3 linked regions of the Caenorhabditis elegans genome follow. The protein of the gene in region 1 interacts with the protein of each later gene in a pairwise test. Each region holds a gene or a part of one and is shown in the gene's direction. Other genes may lie near its edges.

The links. Proteins that work in one complex are often made in the same cells at the same time.
Region 2: the proteins of B0228.1 (region 1) and F20C5.6 interact in a two-hybrid assay, tested with the Caenorhabditis elegans proteins (one large-scale study listed by BioGRID).
Region 3: the proteins of B0228.1 (region 1) and dyf-19 interact in a two-hybrid assay, tested with the Caenorhabditis elegans proteins (one large-scale study listed by BioGRID).

Annotation. Positions count from the first base shown.
Region 1 is NC_003280.10:7,753,580-7,757,460, forward strand, and holds B0228.1 (uncharacterized protein), read left to right. Parts: upstream 1-1,763; 5' UTR 1,764-2,428; coding exon 2,429-2,579; intron 2,580-2,638; coding exon 2,639-2,718; intron 2,719-2,768; coding exon 2,769-2,829; intron 2,830-2,884; coding exon 2,885-3,267; 3' UTR 3,268-3,328; downstream 3,329-3,881. Other genes in the region: B0228.6 (uncharacterized protein), read right to left, coding at 568-1,188, 1,254-1,403, 1,467-1,577; B0228.7 (S-methyl-5'-thioadenosine phosphorylase), read right to left, coding at 3,649-3,729, 3,776-3,881.
Region 2 is NC_003282.8:8,771,035-8,775,103, reverse strand, and holds F20C5.6 (ELKS/RAB6-interacting/CAST family member 2), read left to right. Parts: upstream 1-1,897; 5' UTR 1,898-1,915; coding exon 1,916-2,453; intron 2,454-2,578; coding exon 2,579-2,773; intron 2,774-2,836; coding exon 2,837-3,150; 3' UTR 3,151-3,544; downstream 3,545-4,069.
Region 3 is NC_003283.11:19,623,162-19,631,073, forward strand, and holds dyf-19 (Fas-binding factor 1 C-terminal domain-containing protein), read left to right. Parts: upstream 1-1,887; 5' UTR 1,888-1,900; coding exon 1,901-1,933; intron 1,934-1,980; coding exon 1,981-2,103; intron 2,104-2,212; coding exon 2,213-2,281; intron 2,282-2,644; coding exon 2,645-2,889; intron 2,890-4,183; coding exon 4,184-4,522; intron 4,523-4,725; exon of another isoform or gene 4,726-4,783; intron 4,784-5,619; coding exon 5,620-5,700; intron 5,701-5,836; coding exon 5,837-5,942; intron 5,943-6,075; coding exon 6,076-6,198; intron 6,199-6,255; coding exon 6,256-6,344; intron 6,345-6,666; exon of another isoform or gene 6,667-6,738; intron 6,739-6,767; coding exon 6,768-6,897; intron 6,898-7,196; coding exon 7,197-7,463; 3' UTR 7,464-7,600; downstream 7,601-7,912.

The DNA of each region.
Region 1 (3,881 bases):
CAGTCTCAGTATGATATTTATATGAAATAAGTGAGAAGATGAAGAGAAAAAGACTTTCAGTCGATCGGACAGGTACACGCCCACTTAATTCATGGGTTGATGAACGGGGGAAGAAGCATCGATAAACAGAAAAAGGTGTGTGGGAGGAGGAGGCATGGATGAATAATGAAGGCTGAGAAAAAAAACTGAAGAATGAAGAAAATAATTACAGTGCTCAAAAATGAAAACTAAAAATCAGATAATGTCGTCAGCAAAGTTTCGTCAATGGGAGTTTGGTCTTGAAATATGCTTGTTAAATTAATTTTTTAAAATTTTCTCTTTTAGTTATGAATTTTCCTTAAAATTGTTAGTGGGGTTACACAGTAATGCGCCCTATTCACTTCAACTCAAAATTGGACAGAGATGCATTTTCAAATGTTTGTTGTTGGTTTTTATTGAAAAGAAAAATAGAAAAACTGTACATATTTAAACATGGAAAGCGAAAAAAAAAAAACAGAATTTTACATTAAAAATAAGAATCGGGGACTAATAGAATATCATTAGGCAAAACTCTGTCACAAATGAAAATTAAAATTGACGAATTTTGGATTGAAGCATAGGAGAGATGGTAGGAGAACGATATACTCGGGTACAATCTAAGTTTCCTCTTTTGTCATATACATGCAAATCTCCATGTTTCAGATAATATTCTGTACGTGATAGTTCTTGGCCTTCGTTCTTTACCAATCTAATCAAAGTTCTTCCAGAAATGAAATATTCCATTGAATGATGTTTTCCAATAATCTCCTTTCTTCCTAGATTCAAGAACTGATTATTATAGTTCTTTCCATCCAATGTTGTCTTCAAAGTCATCTCTTCCGACTCAAAATCATGGTCAAAATTTGGAACTCCACGAACAAAAAGTTCTTCTTCGAAAGTATTCTCCCATTCCATTCCACGAATAAATTCTTGAACTCCTTCGAAAAATGAATGATCAGGTATCCATTCTCTACGAAGTGCCAACTCAATTGGTTCAATTTCAGACAGAATATAGAATCTTGCAGAATCAACGAATCGGCGGCTTGGTCTTTTGTCTCGTCCTGTACGTTGAATTTCAGACATGTAATCATGAACTTTCTGTTGGAACTCTTCAGAAGACATTTGGTCGATGTTAGAACCAATTGATTTTGATTGCTGGGAGTTTGGATTCTGTAAATATTTAAAGGGATAATTAAACAAATCTTACAAAATTCTAATATATCCTTGAAACTCACATTTATTCCCCATAAAAATGTGGAGACGTCCGCCATTAAGAGACATGACATGCCTAATGAAAAAAAGGCAACGGCGAAAATTTCTTTTGCAAGAACTATATGGGAATCTTTAGAGTTTCTTCTTTTCTTTACCTTCTCGTTATTCACAACCTGAAAAGTGTACATCTTACTGTCCTATAGAATTTTAATACTTTTAATAAAAAGTCAACTCACCACTGCATCAGTTGTCTCATTTTGCTTGAGCTCCGAAGTTTTTGATCCTCTTTTTTTGATTTGTCCAGTTTCGGAAACAAATTCAAAGGTTGATTCCCAGTCCGAGTCCATGGCTCTAAAATTTACATTTTATTGAAGTGATAAATACTTTAAGAAGAAAACTCAAAGGAAACATTAGATATGGAGCACAATCTTTCAATCGGTTGTGTTCATTAGTATTTCTTGCATTGTCTTCGTATCTTCACTTTTAACACTATTTCTTCAAAAAGGAACACCCAGTATGTGTAATCTCTTGAAGGCAACGTGACCTCTAACTAGAGGGCTCGCAATGCGCGCACGAATATCGATTTCTCTTGAAGAGGTTGTGCAGGAGAAGGAAAAAGAGATGAAGCAGTAGACAGAATGAGGTGTCAATATGCATCACGAGACATTTAACAATAAATTCAACTACAACGTGAGATTATTTATAGTTCTGTACATCCGTTCAAGAATGTAAACTATACAAAGTGGACTAACTAAAGGGACTGTAAAATATGTAATTGCACAAATTTATTAAAGTTGAAACTGAAACAGTATGGGTTTTTAAAAATAACTAGAGGTTTCGGTTTTGATTAGTTGATGACATACAAAACCATGTAAGAATATATTTTACTAAAGCTCTCACTAAAATATGAAACTATTATAAATCAACCTCGTGACAAAGTATAATCTTTTGAACTTCATGTTTTTGATTTTACATACATTTTCTCTACCAGAAACATATGAACACATACAACATACATTCCCCAGGATTTTATTATTTCAAGAACGCACGATTCTTGAAATGTGTGAGAGAGAGAGCAGAAAGGTCCGCCTATTGTCCGATAATCCGATTTGTACAAAGAATCAATTCCAAAGTCGAGGTTACCAAGGTCAATTTTATTGAATAAAAGGAGAATCTAATGCTATGATTTTTCATAAATATGTTTACAATTCTTCTATATTTTCTTGTTCTCTTCTGGGTGACCAATGCGGCTGTTGTCACTCCATCTATTGAGAATCACAAAATGGAAAATGCTTCTGTAACGATATCGAAGGTTCCTATTTCTCATAGACCAAGAGGTTTCACAGCAGGTATAGTTTTGCTGATTTTGTGCAAATTGGAAAATTATCACAAAATTAAGTTTTTGAAGGTAGCGATTCCAAAAAGTTGGCTGTACAGAGGTTCAAACTTCTCATCTCTGATTTCTTGTCAGATGCGCAACTGTCCAAGGTATCTAGAACTATATTAGGAAATTTTTTTATAAGAACAAATATATTTAGAGTATTGATGTAGCTGCTGTTGGAATGCACAAAGGAAAGTCAATGGATGATATTTTAGATGGTAATTGTTTGCTAGTTCCATTAAGTTCTGGTTGACTTTGAATATATATTTTCAGATGTTTACACTCGTCTCCGCAGAACATTATCCACAAAACAAATAAGTGAGTTAGCAAAAGCTCAAAAAGGACTAGTCGAAGATCTTGATGAAAAATCAGCAAAGTTAGTGAAGGCAAGAGTTAAACGAATGATTGTCTACTCATTTGATCCGGCTGCTGAACAAATTCATAAATATGCAACACGTCCTTCAATGGCTTTTGCTCTAATTGCTGAAACAATCAATGAAAGATTTGTTGGATCAGTCAAGGATTTGATTCGTGACGTACTGACTCCAAAGGAATATGATATTTTCCGTAAACACTATCACCCGCATATCTTCAAATTGGACAATATTGGCAATAATACAGAAGCAGTCCGAACTACAACTCACGAAACATTTTGAAAGTTTACCTCTTGATTTCTTTTGAATGTTTTGTCTCACACAATAAAGAAAATTCTACCGTAGTAAAAGAAAGATTTTGCTTCAGTTTAAAACAAAAACCATAGGTTCCACCGAGATTTGAACTCGGGTCGCAGGATTCAAAGTCCTGAGTGCTAACCGCTACACCATGGAACCGATGGTTGCATCGTGTCCGAGGGCATAAACGTTTGCGGTGCACTTTTGAATGAAACAACTGTTGATACAGCGAGCGTTTCCGTCTGTTCGGGAATCTAATCGTTCTTTGAATGATCAGAATTTCATACACTTCTTGATAAGATTCGAGAAACTTCGAAACGTTAACTTTGCAATAATATCTTTATTTTAATGATTGTAAAATAAATTTTAAAACTTTTTCTGATTGTCAGTGGTGAGGAATGGAATGACGACGTCCGGTGAAATCATGACAGATTCGCGAGCTTCGGTCTATAAATTCAATTTATTTTCATTTTTCAATCTTTTAACAGTTTACCTTGAGTTTAAGAATTTCTGCGCTCCAATCAATTTTTCCGATTTCTCCAACAGCTTCTACGAACAATGTCTTGGCCTTTTCAACATTTGCTGCAAACACTTTCATT
Region 2 (4,069 bases), on another chromosome or scaffold:
ATCTCTGGTGCTTTTCCTGGAAGTGGTTTTCTTGACAGTGATAATCCGTTCAAGATACTAAAGGTTTAAAAATAAGCTCTTTACTCATTAAAATACTATATTTCAGGATTTTCAAAAGTCTGCAAATGCACATGAGCGCTTGAAAACTGAACTCTGGCAGGCAAATGATCAAATTGAGATGATTTTTGAAAATAATAAATTGAAGACTAAAAAACTCGAAGAAAACTACAGAAATGCAAAGGATCAGCTCAAACTTAAGGAAGCGCATCATCTGAAGCTTACTCAGCGAATCGAAGATCTCGAGAAAAAATTGGCAGAAAAAGATGAACGGCTGAATTATCTGGAGCAACTTCCAAATCAAAATGAACTATGTTCAATGCTTCAGAAAGAAATTTTGAAACTTCGTTCATCGCCTGCTAGAGATAGTGAAATTGACATTTTGAAGGAAAGTCTTGAAGCTCAGAAACAATCTGAAACGTGGAAGATCCAGAAGCTTACAACAGAGAATAAGATACTGATGAATGAAAAAGATGAGAGAATTTTGAAGCTTGAAAAGTATATTGAAAGCATGAGAACCAAGAAATTTTAAGATTGAGAAAAGAGCTCGAGAGAAGAGAAAATAGCTTGAGAGAAGCACAGTCTCGAAATGGTAAGAAATTTTTATGAACATGTTTACCGGAAAAATGCAAGAACAGAAAAGTATGTTTTTATATTTTCAGAAAAATCACAAAGTTTATCATCTCAATTCATGAAACAGAGGGATCCTGACATCGAATTAATCTACCACTCAGAAAATAGAGGAAAAGCGAGCAGTAAAGATAATGCAATGGAAACCAACTCCCATAGTTCTAGTGGAACTAAAAAGAGAAGAGTTATTTCTTCAGAAGAGTTGGAAGGTGAGCTTTTTTGTTTTAATAATATCTGATTAACTCTGAAGAAATTGTTTTAGCTTCTTCCTCGTATCCTATCGCAAGCATGAAGAATTGTCTGAAAAATGAAGAAATTCAGAAAATGCAAAAAGCTCTGAAAGAGAAAGATGAGCAAATTTCGAAACTTACCGAGCAACTTCAAGGACTTCTGATTAATCGGGACAAAGAAACAAAAGTGGAGGATTTGCAGCAATTCGAATACGATGGGGATTCTGACGGATAATCTTCAAAGAGTCAAGCATCTAATAGTTGGGATCTGATGAATGACATTTGATTTCCATTTTTCCATGTTCTAACTGATACGTTAAGTTCATTTTATTAGTGATGCAACATGTATGTAAATATTTTTGTTTATTTTGTAAGTAGCAAGCTCTGGTATCTAATTTTCATCTTGTTTCGTTTTTGTTTTTCCTTTTTTTTCTCAATTAATACATAATGAGTTTTTAATTTTTTTTCTCGAATTTTCGTTGATTTGTTGTTTTGAAATTCTATTTTGAAGACCTGGACAAAGTGGGAAAACCGAATTTTCAGGCTTTGTTTAACTTGGGCTCGTGCAGTAGATCATTGAAAAGTGAAGAATCAGATGGATGGGATCATATGAGCGATGCTTAAGCTTTTTTAATTCGTAATTTCAATTTTCTGAATTTTTTCTGTCAAATTCTATTTATTTTAATATTCAAATTAACTATTTTGCATTTTTATTCATTTTCCTTTGTTCTTCAAAATTGTAAATTCTTCGTGTAAGTTGTATATCATATTCTTGAATCTTTTCCTCAATAATTCTAAAATTCCATTTCGACCTATTTCCTCTCAGGGCTTTACTTGATTTTTCAGTGTTTTTTTCAACCTCGTCGTTATAAAATTTTTACATTTTTTTCAAATACTTCTTGTGATTTTTGGAAGGTTTTACACCTTTTCAAATACCTTTTTTATTACCTCAATACATGGAGTCTAAATTGATATTTTAGTAACTTGGACTGGAAAGTATGATGGACAACCTGAAAGCTGAATTGGCACAAGCGAAAATCGACATCGATCAATTGGAAAAGAAACAATGGGAAACTTTGGAACAATTGGTGATGAGAGATAAGCTTATTGAGCAATGCTCTCTACATACGGAGATTCTTCAAAAAGATTTTCGAGAGAGTGAAGCACGAATTATTCAACTTGAGCAGCAACTTTTGGAACCTGGAGAATGTGGTAGTGAGCTTCGGGCAACTATCAAAAATCAGGAGGAGTTACTCAAAAAGCAATCAGAAGAAATTGAGAGGTGTAAGGAAGAGAGCCGCATGTTGATTCAACAGAAGGAAGAAATGGAAAATATTCATTCAGAAGAAATATTTGGAAAAAACAAAACAATTTCGAATCTTCGTAAACAGATCGATGGTGATGTTGAGAGAAAGAAGGCAAAGATTCGTACGTTGAGAAAAGAACTGTGCTCAGCGGATATGAATACAGGAAAGATGTGTAGACGTGCCAAAAGAGCGGAAGATAGAATTGCTAAATTGGAATCCGATCTTGAAGGTAAGCTATTGTTTTACTGAAAGTTGGCCAACATTGGTTAGAAAACAGATGAAGTTGATTGAAAAAACGAGCTGTTCTATTATATATTAAAGTATTAATTAAAAATTACCATCTATAATTTTCAGAAGAACGCCAAAAACATGTGGGACAAGACATCAGTCATATTTTGGATCAACATAACTCGACCGTCATGGCGTTAGAGATGCAACTTGCAAACACTCAGCAGGAAAAAGCCACGCTTAATACATCAGTTGAAGATCTTAAACTTCGAACTGAAGAGTGGAAGCACAACTTATTGGGGCAATTTGAAGTATTGACAGGTAAGCTTGTGAAAGTTTTCTAGGGGTTTTACACACATCTGTAAGCATTTTCTTTTATTTCAGCCAATTCAAAGAGAGAATGTGAATCAAAAGAAGAACAGATTGCAAATCATAAAAGAGAAATCATGGAAAAAGATAGCAAAATTGAGTGTCTGATGGAACTTATTCAAAATAGCGAACGATCCGCTGAAATTCAGAAGATGCATGATGCATTGAGAGAGAAGGATTTGAAGATTTCGGAACTTTCGGAAAAACTGCAAGGTCTTCTTATCAATCAAGAAGGAGAAGCTGATGATACAATGATCGATCAAGATGACGACAATAAATCCACACACAGTGAAGATTCAGATGGATGGGATAAAATAAATGCCATCTAATTTTTTGCACTAAAAATGCGCCCCGATTTTTCATATGCTTTTTAATTTTTTTCCTTTTTTCCTTTTAAATTTTAAATTCAACTTCGTATTGGAAGAAAGTAGCTCTTTAATCGTATTACCTTAAGCCTTCAACAAAAAATTATTTTTAAAAAACAATTGTATTCTTGTAAACTTTGTACCTTTTCTGTACTGCACTGTATTATAAACTTCATATGTTTCCCGTACTTTTGCGTGACTCTGTCATTGTTTATACTAATGTGAAAACATTTTACTTATTACTATTTCACAAATTTTCAAGTATCTTCACTTATTCTCAGGGATATTCTGTTTCTCACCTCATTTAAAAACTATTCTCATAACAATTATGTTCTTTCTCAATAAAGTTAGTATTACTTATTGTGCTCATTTTATATTTAAAAGGTTCTCATTTCCTTTCCGATTATTTTCAGAGCGTTTCATGTGCAGTATTGGTAGGTATTTTCTATCCATACAGTATTGTTGGGAACTCGATGTAAATTTTCGGAGATGTATTTTATTTTACAAAAAATAGTTTTGAAATTGCTCAATTCGGATAAGTGTGGCTGAAGCTTCGAAAACTGACTAATTTGTATGAAAACATCTTAAAAAAGAACAATAACTTCAATTGAGAACATTCGTTGGCTAGTCAGACAAATTCGATTTTCCTAACATCTAAAATTGCCTTGTTATTTTTTTCGTTACTGAAATTATGGCAACACTTACAAAAGATAAAATACTATAATCATATATCTTATCGCATTTTGTTTGCAATCCTTTGCTCCTTAAATGTTAATTTTCCCTAATAGCAAATAACATTGGCCCTCAAGTTACCAAACGAAAGAGTTCGACTTATATTCTCTTTGATCAATGCGACCTGTCTGTCGCTTTACAATGACCTACA
Region 3 (7,912 bases), on another chromosome or scaffold:
TGAAGTTTAGAGCCGAAAAAAAATCAAAATTGGAATTTTTCACGAATGGCGCAGTGGGTAACACGGATGGTTACCACCCAGAAGGTCACAGGTTCGACCCCCCGTTGGGGTCAATTTTTTTTCTTGTTAAATTTGCTAGGATTCATCAATTTAAATGTCATAGAACACAGCTTAACTTTTAAATACAGATTTTCAACTCTAATTTGTTAAATATCAGTCTAAAATCCATAGTTTCCTAACTGAAAAAATAAAAATAACATATAAACCTAAAGTTTTAAGGTCAGAGCAAAAAAAAAGTCAAAATCCCAATTTTGCACGAATGGCGCAGTGGGTAACACAGATGACTACCACCCAGAAGGTCACGGGTTCGACCCCCTGCTAGGGTCAATATTTTTCTTTTTCACTCATACCAAACAATTTTAAAGCATAGTCTATTTGTTGGTTACGGTAGATGCCGATTCGTCCAAATAAAACGGGCAATTTACGATTTTGTTGATGATAAGATCGATGAGAGACGCAGAGACGGCGGCTGGCTACTCGCAAATTAGTAGTGACCGATATGCGGGGGAAAACTGATGATATCAGCTGATAAGGACATCCGGACACACAGAGCAGTTTTGGACTCAATTTGGGCCATGTATGGCATAGAGCCAATAGCGGTGACCAATTTTCCCTAATTTTTTGTGAGTTGTAACTTAAAAATTCAGATTCTCCGTGAAATTTGGATAGTTTTAACACCCATATTGGCTAGGTTTGAGCAACTTAAATATTTGGGCCGAAATAGGCTGAAATGAACCGAATTCAGGCCTAATATAGGCATGTTCCAAGTCATGATAGTTTTTAACTGCGTTGTCTTTAGCTTTAGAGTTTAAAAAAAATTTTGACTCTAGCGGGGGGTCGAACCCGTGGCCTTCTGGGTCATAGCCATCCCTGTTACCGACTGCGCCACTTGGTCGAAATTTTATTTTTTATCTTTTATTGCCAGAAGAATTATTTTAGGGCATTTTTCAAAGTTTCTGGCGTCAAAATATTGAAATTTTGGGTCGAACTATCCAAAAAACCGGTAAAATTCGAAAAACCCTTTGACAGATTCAAGATCTTAGTAAAAACTGCAAAATGTTACTTGCACACTTTCAAAAAATAATTAAATGTGTGAAACGCAATTGAAAAAAAAATGGCTACGCTGGGGGTCGAACCCGTGACCTTCTGGGTGCCAGCCATCTCTGTGACCTACTGCGCCATTTGAGCAAAAATTTTATTTTCCAACTTTTTTGTGTAATAACTCAAAATTCACGGTTAAAAGCGAATTTTATCGCAAAATCTGCCAATTTTTGTTCCGCAAGTCGTTGTTTTTCAAATTTCCACTGAGTTTTCCTTGTTTACCCCCCTTTCCCCTATGCCCCCTAGGTTCCCCGGGTAATCATTTGTTATCAGCGAGGTCTGCTATACATTTCCCTATTATTTCCGTCTCCAGCTTCTTTCTTCCTCTGCAAACTCTCGAAGCTTCTGCCCCAGTCGGTTACTATGGCAACCCCCTTCTTTAAGCTTCACCCCCTTCGTCCCGCTTAGACCCTTTATTCTCGATTTCCCGCATTTTATTATGTTTTTACTGAAATTTTTAGGTTTTAGGTATTAGAAATAGGTTGGTTAAAAAGTTTTGGAAAAGTTTAGTGAGTTTTGGAAATTTTTAGAATTTTTTAGAGCTAATTTTCGATTTTCCTGGAAATTATGTCCGATTTTGCGGTTTTTTGCAAATTTTTTGACCAAAACCTTGAAAAAAATGATTTTTTGTTAGTTAAAATTAGTTTTAGAAACGTTTTTTGAAAAATTTTTTTTTGGCATTTTTTCGAAAAAAAATGTTTTTTTCAAAAACAAAAAAAATTTTCCAGATTTCTCGTGTATGTCAGACGATGAGTGGGGAGATTTATTAGATGTGCGTTTTCAGCATATTTTCAAAAAAAAATTCGATATTTTATTCAGAATTTAGACACCGAACCACCCCAGCCAGCACCACCACCTCCCCCCAATTTGCCGGGAAATTCGAAAAATTCGCGGCCGAAAAGTAGTGGACTAGATTTTTTATTGGACTCTGACTTGGATAAGGTGATTTTGTGACTTCTTTTTGGGAAAAAACTGCGAAAAATCCAAAAAAAAAAGGCTTTTGGCCTATTTTGGCCTGAATTTTGGATGATGCTATAAGACTGATTTTCAGGAACCGCAGGCACCTAAAACTGTAAATTTTGCAACAAACCGGGAAGAAAATACATCTGAAATGAGAGCGGTAAGTTTAAAAAAAAAAATGTTTTTTGAAAATTTTTTTATTTTTTTTCTTGACCCAAATTTTTCTAAAAATCTGTATTTCAACGTTTTTATCTTACCTTAAGCTTTAAAATGACACCCATATCGCCTATACCCCGTTAATTTTCATTTTTGGATCAACTTTTGGGTGCCTACAGTATCCTCGTGGCGGGACCCTAAACATCAAAATTACGGGATTCTAAGCAATATTGGGGTTATTTGAAAGCTGGTAATATCATAAATGGCCTATCGAAGAGTAACATTCCAAAAATAAGACATTTTTCAAAAAAAAAATTTTTTTCAAAATTTCGAAAAAAAATTATTTTTCAAAATTTCCTAAATTCAGGCTGGTCGTTCTACAAATGCTCTCAGCGACCTATTTGGCACAAGCACGGGCTCTGGGCTTGGAGCATCAGGTGCGGCGTCGGCTCCACGGAGACCCGCAGGCGCCTCCACCCTCGACGACCTTTTTGGCACGGCGCCAAGAGCTGCTACAGTAACCCCAGGGGTTACTGTAGCCGCTCCGGCGGCTTCACAGCCAACGGCTACTGCTCCACCACCGGATAATTTTGATGCGGGAAGGATTTTGAGGTAAATTTGAAATTTTCGAAAAAAATTTTTTTTTCAAAAATTCAAAAAAAACTTAATTTTTAATTTTTGTTAATTTTCGTTACTTTATCACTTTCAGCTCACTGAGAGCTTTAAAATGACACCCATATCGGCTATACTACCCTAATTTTTCAAAATTTGGGCATTCTTCGAGTACCTACAGTACCCTTCGTAGCGGGACCCAAAAATCGGAAATTAGAGGACTATGGGCATAATGGATGTTATTTTGAAGCTAAAAAGCTGAAAAATGAGATAAATCAAACAAAAATTATCTGAAATCGATAATTTTGAGAAAATTTCAAAATTTAACGTTTTCGAAAAACACATTTTTTGAATTTTTTTCAAAAATTCGAAAAATTTCAAATTCAAATTTTTGTTCGTTTTTTGATATTTTATCGCCTTCAGCTCTCTGAGAGCTTCAAAATAACACCCATATCGGCTAGTTTCCGTCATTTTTCAAAATTTTAGAATATTTCGGGTGCCTACAGTACCACTCGTGGAGGGACCCAAAATCCAAAAACTAGAGGGTTCTGAGCATTATTGGGGTTATTTTGGAGCTGAAAACGTGAAAAATCGATCAAAAATAAATACTTTAATCATAAATCAATAAATATTGAGAAAATTTTGAAATTAAAAATTTTCGAAAAAAAAAATTTTTTGAAATTTTTTTTTCAAAAATTCAAAAAAAAATTTTAATTTTTAATTTTTTTAAATTTTGGCTATTTTATCACCTTCAGCTCACTGGGAGCTTCAAAATGACACCCATATCGGCTATACTACCCTAATTGTTCAAAATTTGGGCATTATTCGGGTACTACAGTACCCCTCGTGGCGGGACCCAAAATCCAAAAATTAGAGGATTATGGGCATAATTGGTGTTTTTGATGCTGAAAAATAGAGAAATCAATAAAGTCGATAGGAAATCAGCTTTAAAAAAACTTTCTTTGAAATTTTTTTTTCAAAAATTCAAAAAAAGTTATTTTTTAATTTTTGGTAATTTTGTTTTTTTTTCAGTATTTTATCACCTTCAGCTCACTGAGAGCTTCAAAATAACACCCATATCGGCTAGGTTCCGTCGTTTTTTTTTTAAATAAGAGCATAATGGATGTTTTTTTAGGCTAAAAAATGAAAAAATCGATAAAATCGATAGGAAATCAGCTAAAATCGGTAATTTTGAAAAAATTTTGAAATTCAAAATTTTTGGAAAATTTTTTTTTTAATTTTATATCAAAAATCAAATTCTGGAACAAATTTCTCAATTTTTTTCAAATTTCAGACTAGAAGCCGAGCTAGAACGTGTAAACCGTGAGCTTGAAGACACAAAACGCAAGAAACGAGAAGACGAGGAAGATTTGGAGAATTTCTGGAAAACCAAGCTGGAAATCCAGTCAAAAGACTCGGAAAAGGCACTGGAAGACTCAAAAACTGCACAAAGAGCACAAATTTCAAAGCTTCAAGATGAGCATCACGTGGAGCTCGAAAGGCTTAAAGCCAATTACGATAGGCAGCTAGAGAATGTGACGTCATCGACGAGTCAGGTTGGGGATCTAGTGGCAGTGGTGGGGAAAGTGGATACAATTTCTACGAATATTGATAAAATTGCGGCGGATGTGGTGTAAGTTGACTATGTGCCTTTAAAATTGAAAAATATTAAAAAATCGGTTTAAAAAATTTTAAAAATCGAAAAATTCGCCCCAAAACTTCAAAATTTTAAAATTTTGAGCAGATTTTCTGATTCTCCGTGCAAAATTACCCCTAACCCTCAATTTTCAGATTCAGATTTTTTGTGCAACTTTGCGTCAAATCCGGTGTCTTGAGTTACTGTACCTCGGTGTTTGCGTACCTGACACCTGATTTTACGGAATTTTGAGTTAGAGCTCTGAAAAATTAGGGAAAGAGGTAGTTTGGCATGGGTAATCTGGAAAATTATATAAAAATTTCAGGAAGTTTTTGGAAAACGCTGAAATTTTAGTAAAATCCAAAAAAGGTCAAAAATTCACAAACCAAGTGCGCAAACTTGGCCCAAAATTCAAAATGTTTGAATTTTGAGCTCATTTTCTGATTCTCCGTGCAAAACCACTCCTAGGCCTCAATTTTCAGATTTTTAGTGCAACTTTGCGTCAAATTTGGTGTGTTGGTACCTTCAGTAGTACCTTGGTGTTTGCGGACTGGACACCTGATTTTACGGAATTTTTGAAATTTTCGGGATAGGGGTAACTTGGCATGGGGAATCTGAAAATTCACACAAAAATTTATGAAACTTGAAAAAAAATCTTGAAATTTTAGAAAAAACAATTCAAAAATTAAAAAATTCGGGCCAAATCTTGGCCCAAACTTTGAAATTTTGAGCAGATTTTCTGATTATCCGTGCGAAGTTACCCCTAATCCTCCATTTTCAGATTTTTAGTGCAACTTTGCGTGAAATTCGGTGTCTTGGGTTACTGTACCTTGGTGTTTGCGGACCTGACACCTGATTTTACGGAATTTGGAGCTAGAGCTCTGAAAAACTAGGTCTAGGGTAGTTTTGGATGGGGAATCTGAAAATAGACATGAAAATTTCTGAAAATTTACAGAATCCTCTAAAAATCCTGAAAAAGTTGAAAAATCATGATTTACGCAAAACAGTCCTTAAAAATTTGTTTTTTTTCAAATTTTTCCTTCAGAGCTATTGATTCTGGTGCTAAAAACAAATTACAAGTATTGATTTTCCAGAGCAAGCACCAATAAAGTGAGCTCGGAGCAAAGCGCTCTTTTCCACTTGCAAGAGGAACTGCTGAAAATTCGAGAGACAAAGTGAGTCATATCTCAGTAGCCAAGCTTGCTATCAAAAAATTGTCAACTAACAACTTGTAGCTCTTGTTACGGAGCACATTTTGTCAGTTGAAAATTTTTCGATAGCTCTGCGGGTTCTCAAGTTATGAAGCTTCAGGCTCTCCGAGGATGTGGCGGCTCTGAAGCTTGAGCAACTGAAAGTTCATGAGCTTAACCTAAGCTTGAAGGATTTGGTCAAAAATCAACAGGATGAAAATGAACAAGTATGTAATTAGAGTACAATGTTTAAAATGTATTGGAAAGTTTTGAAATTTTTGAAATTTTTTTTTTAATTTTCAAAAAAAATTTTGAAAAATTTTTTTAAAAATTTTTTCTGAAAATTTCCAAAAATTCAAGGAAAAATGGAGGACAAAAGAGGAGTGGAACCGTCTGAAAATTGAACGTCAAATTTTCAAGGAAAATCAAGACCGAGTCATTGAAAATGTGCAGAGAGAGAAGCTGGACCTGGCTAATAAATTGGTATGCTCCCCCCTCAAAATTTTTGGAATTTTTATAAAATACGCTCAAACATTTCAGAAATTCTACCACAAAGATCAAACCGAGCTGCTTTTCCGGCTGAGCAGTGAACGGGAGCTTTTGGAGCAGGAGAAGAGCGAATTCTTTGCGTAAGTTGGGTTATCAACAGAGCTACGGGGAAATCTAAACTAGTAAAGCGCAAAATTTTGAACATTTTCTTAGTTGGAAATTTTTCGCTAGCTATCACCGTTGCAGAGATACACCGCTTCAAAGTCTGCGCGCGAAATAGTGTGGGGGAGGAGAGACGCAGGCGCGCACCCTGCGTCTCTCCCCCCTCCACACTGTCTCGTCGCTGTAACTTTAAAGGCGCATAACTCTTCAGCCGGTAGAGATATCAAAAAATTTTCAACTGCAAAAATAATCAGCGTGAAATTCTGCGTCGGGTGAGCTATTCTATAAAAATTTTTCGACTGCCGGGTGGCTCAGTTGGGTAGAGAGATGGCTATCACGCACAGGTCCCTGGTTCGATTCCTTGTATAATATTGATGAGAATTATACGTTTTTTTTTCTAGAAAACGGGACCAGGACATCAAGAGAATCAAAGCAGAAGCCTACGAGCTGGATCTGAAATCTCAGCAAATTTCTACGGCTGACCAACATGTGACGGAGATGAAGCTGGTGACAGAGGCCAAGTACAGACAGGTTGGTTGTAAATTTATCGATTTTTTGAAAAATTATCGATCTTTTGGAAAAATTATCGATTTTTTGAGAAAGATCGATTTTTCGGAAAAATATCATTTTTTTGGAAAATGTATCGATTTTTAGGAGTTTTATCTATTTTTTGAAAAATTTATCGATTTTTTGGAAAATGTATCGATTTTTAGGAATTTTATCGATTTTTTGAGAAATTTATCGATTTTTTGAGAAATTTATCGATTTTTTGGAAAATGTATCGATTTTTCCCAATTTTCCCACTTTAAAAATCCCCAAAATTCCTTCAGCTTCAACACCTCGAGACCCTGCTCACCGCCGAATGCTCGGAAATCGAAAGAATCCGAAATGAGCAAAAAATCGGTGGAAACGTGGATTCGGGCCGGGACGCACGAAGAATAAGCCGTGAGGAGGAGCTGTTTGGTTCGAATAATTCCAATCAAAATAGTCATCGACATCGATCGGAAAGTGTTCGGGCTTCACTCAAAAAACACTATGAAAATTTGGAAAAATACGCCGGGCAGAAGGTTGCTCATGTTGCGCCGCAGAATAATTGAGTGATTATCGAGTTTTTGGTGGAAATATCGATTTTTTAAAGAATTATTGATTTTTGATTTTTTACGACTACAATTGTGATAAAAAATGTAGAATATTGTAATGTTTTGAAATAATAAATTTATTATCGATTTTTTTTAAATTTCGATGGATTTATCGATTTTTTGGTGAAAATATTGATTTTTTTAAGAATTATCGATTTTCGGCATTTTTATAACTAAAATTGTGAATTAGTACATTTTCAGTCAATTTTTGGCGGGAAATTCAAAAATTCAAATTTTCAATTAATTTTTGGCGGGAAATTCAAATTTTCAGTCAATTTTTGGCGGGAAATTTGAAAATTCAAAGTTTCAATTAATTTTTGGCGGGAAATTCAAATTTTCAGTCAATTTTTGGCGGGAAATTTAAAATTTCAATCAATTTTTGGCGGGAAATTCAAATTTTCAGTCAA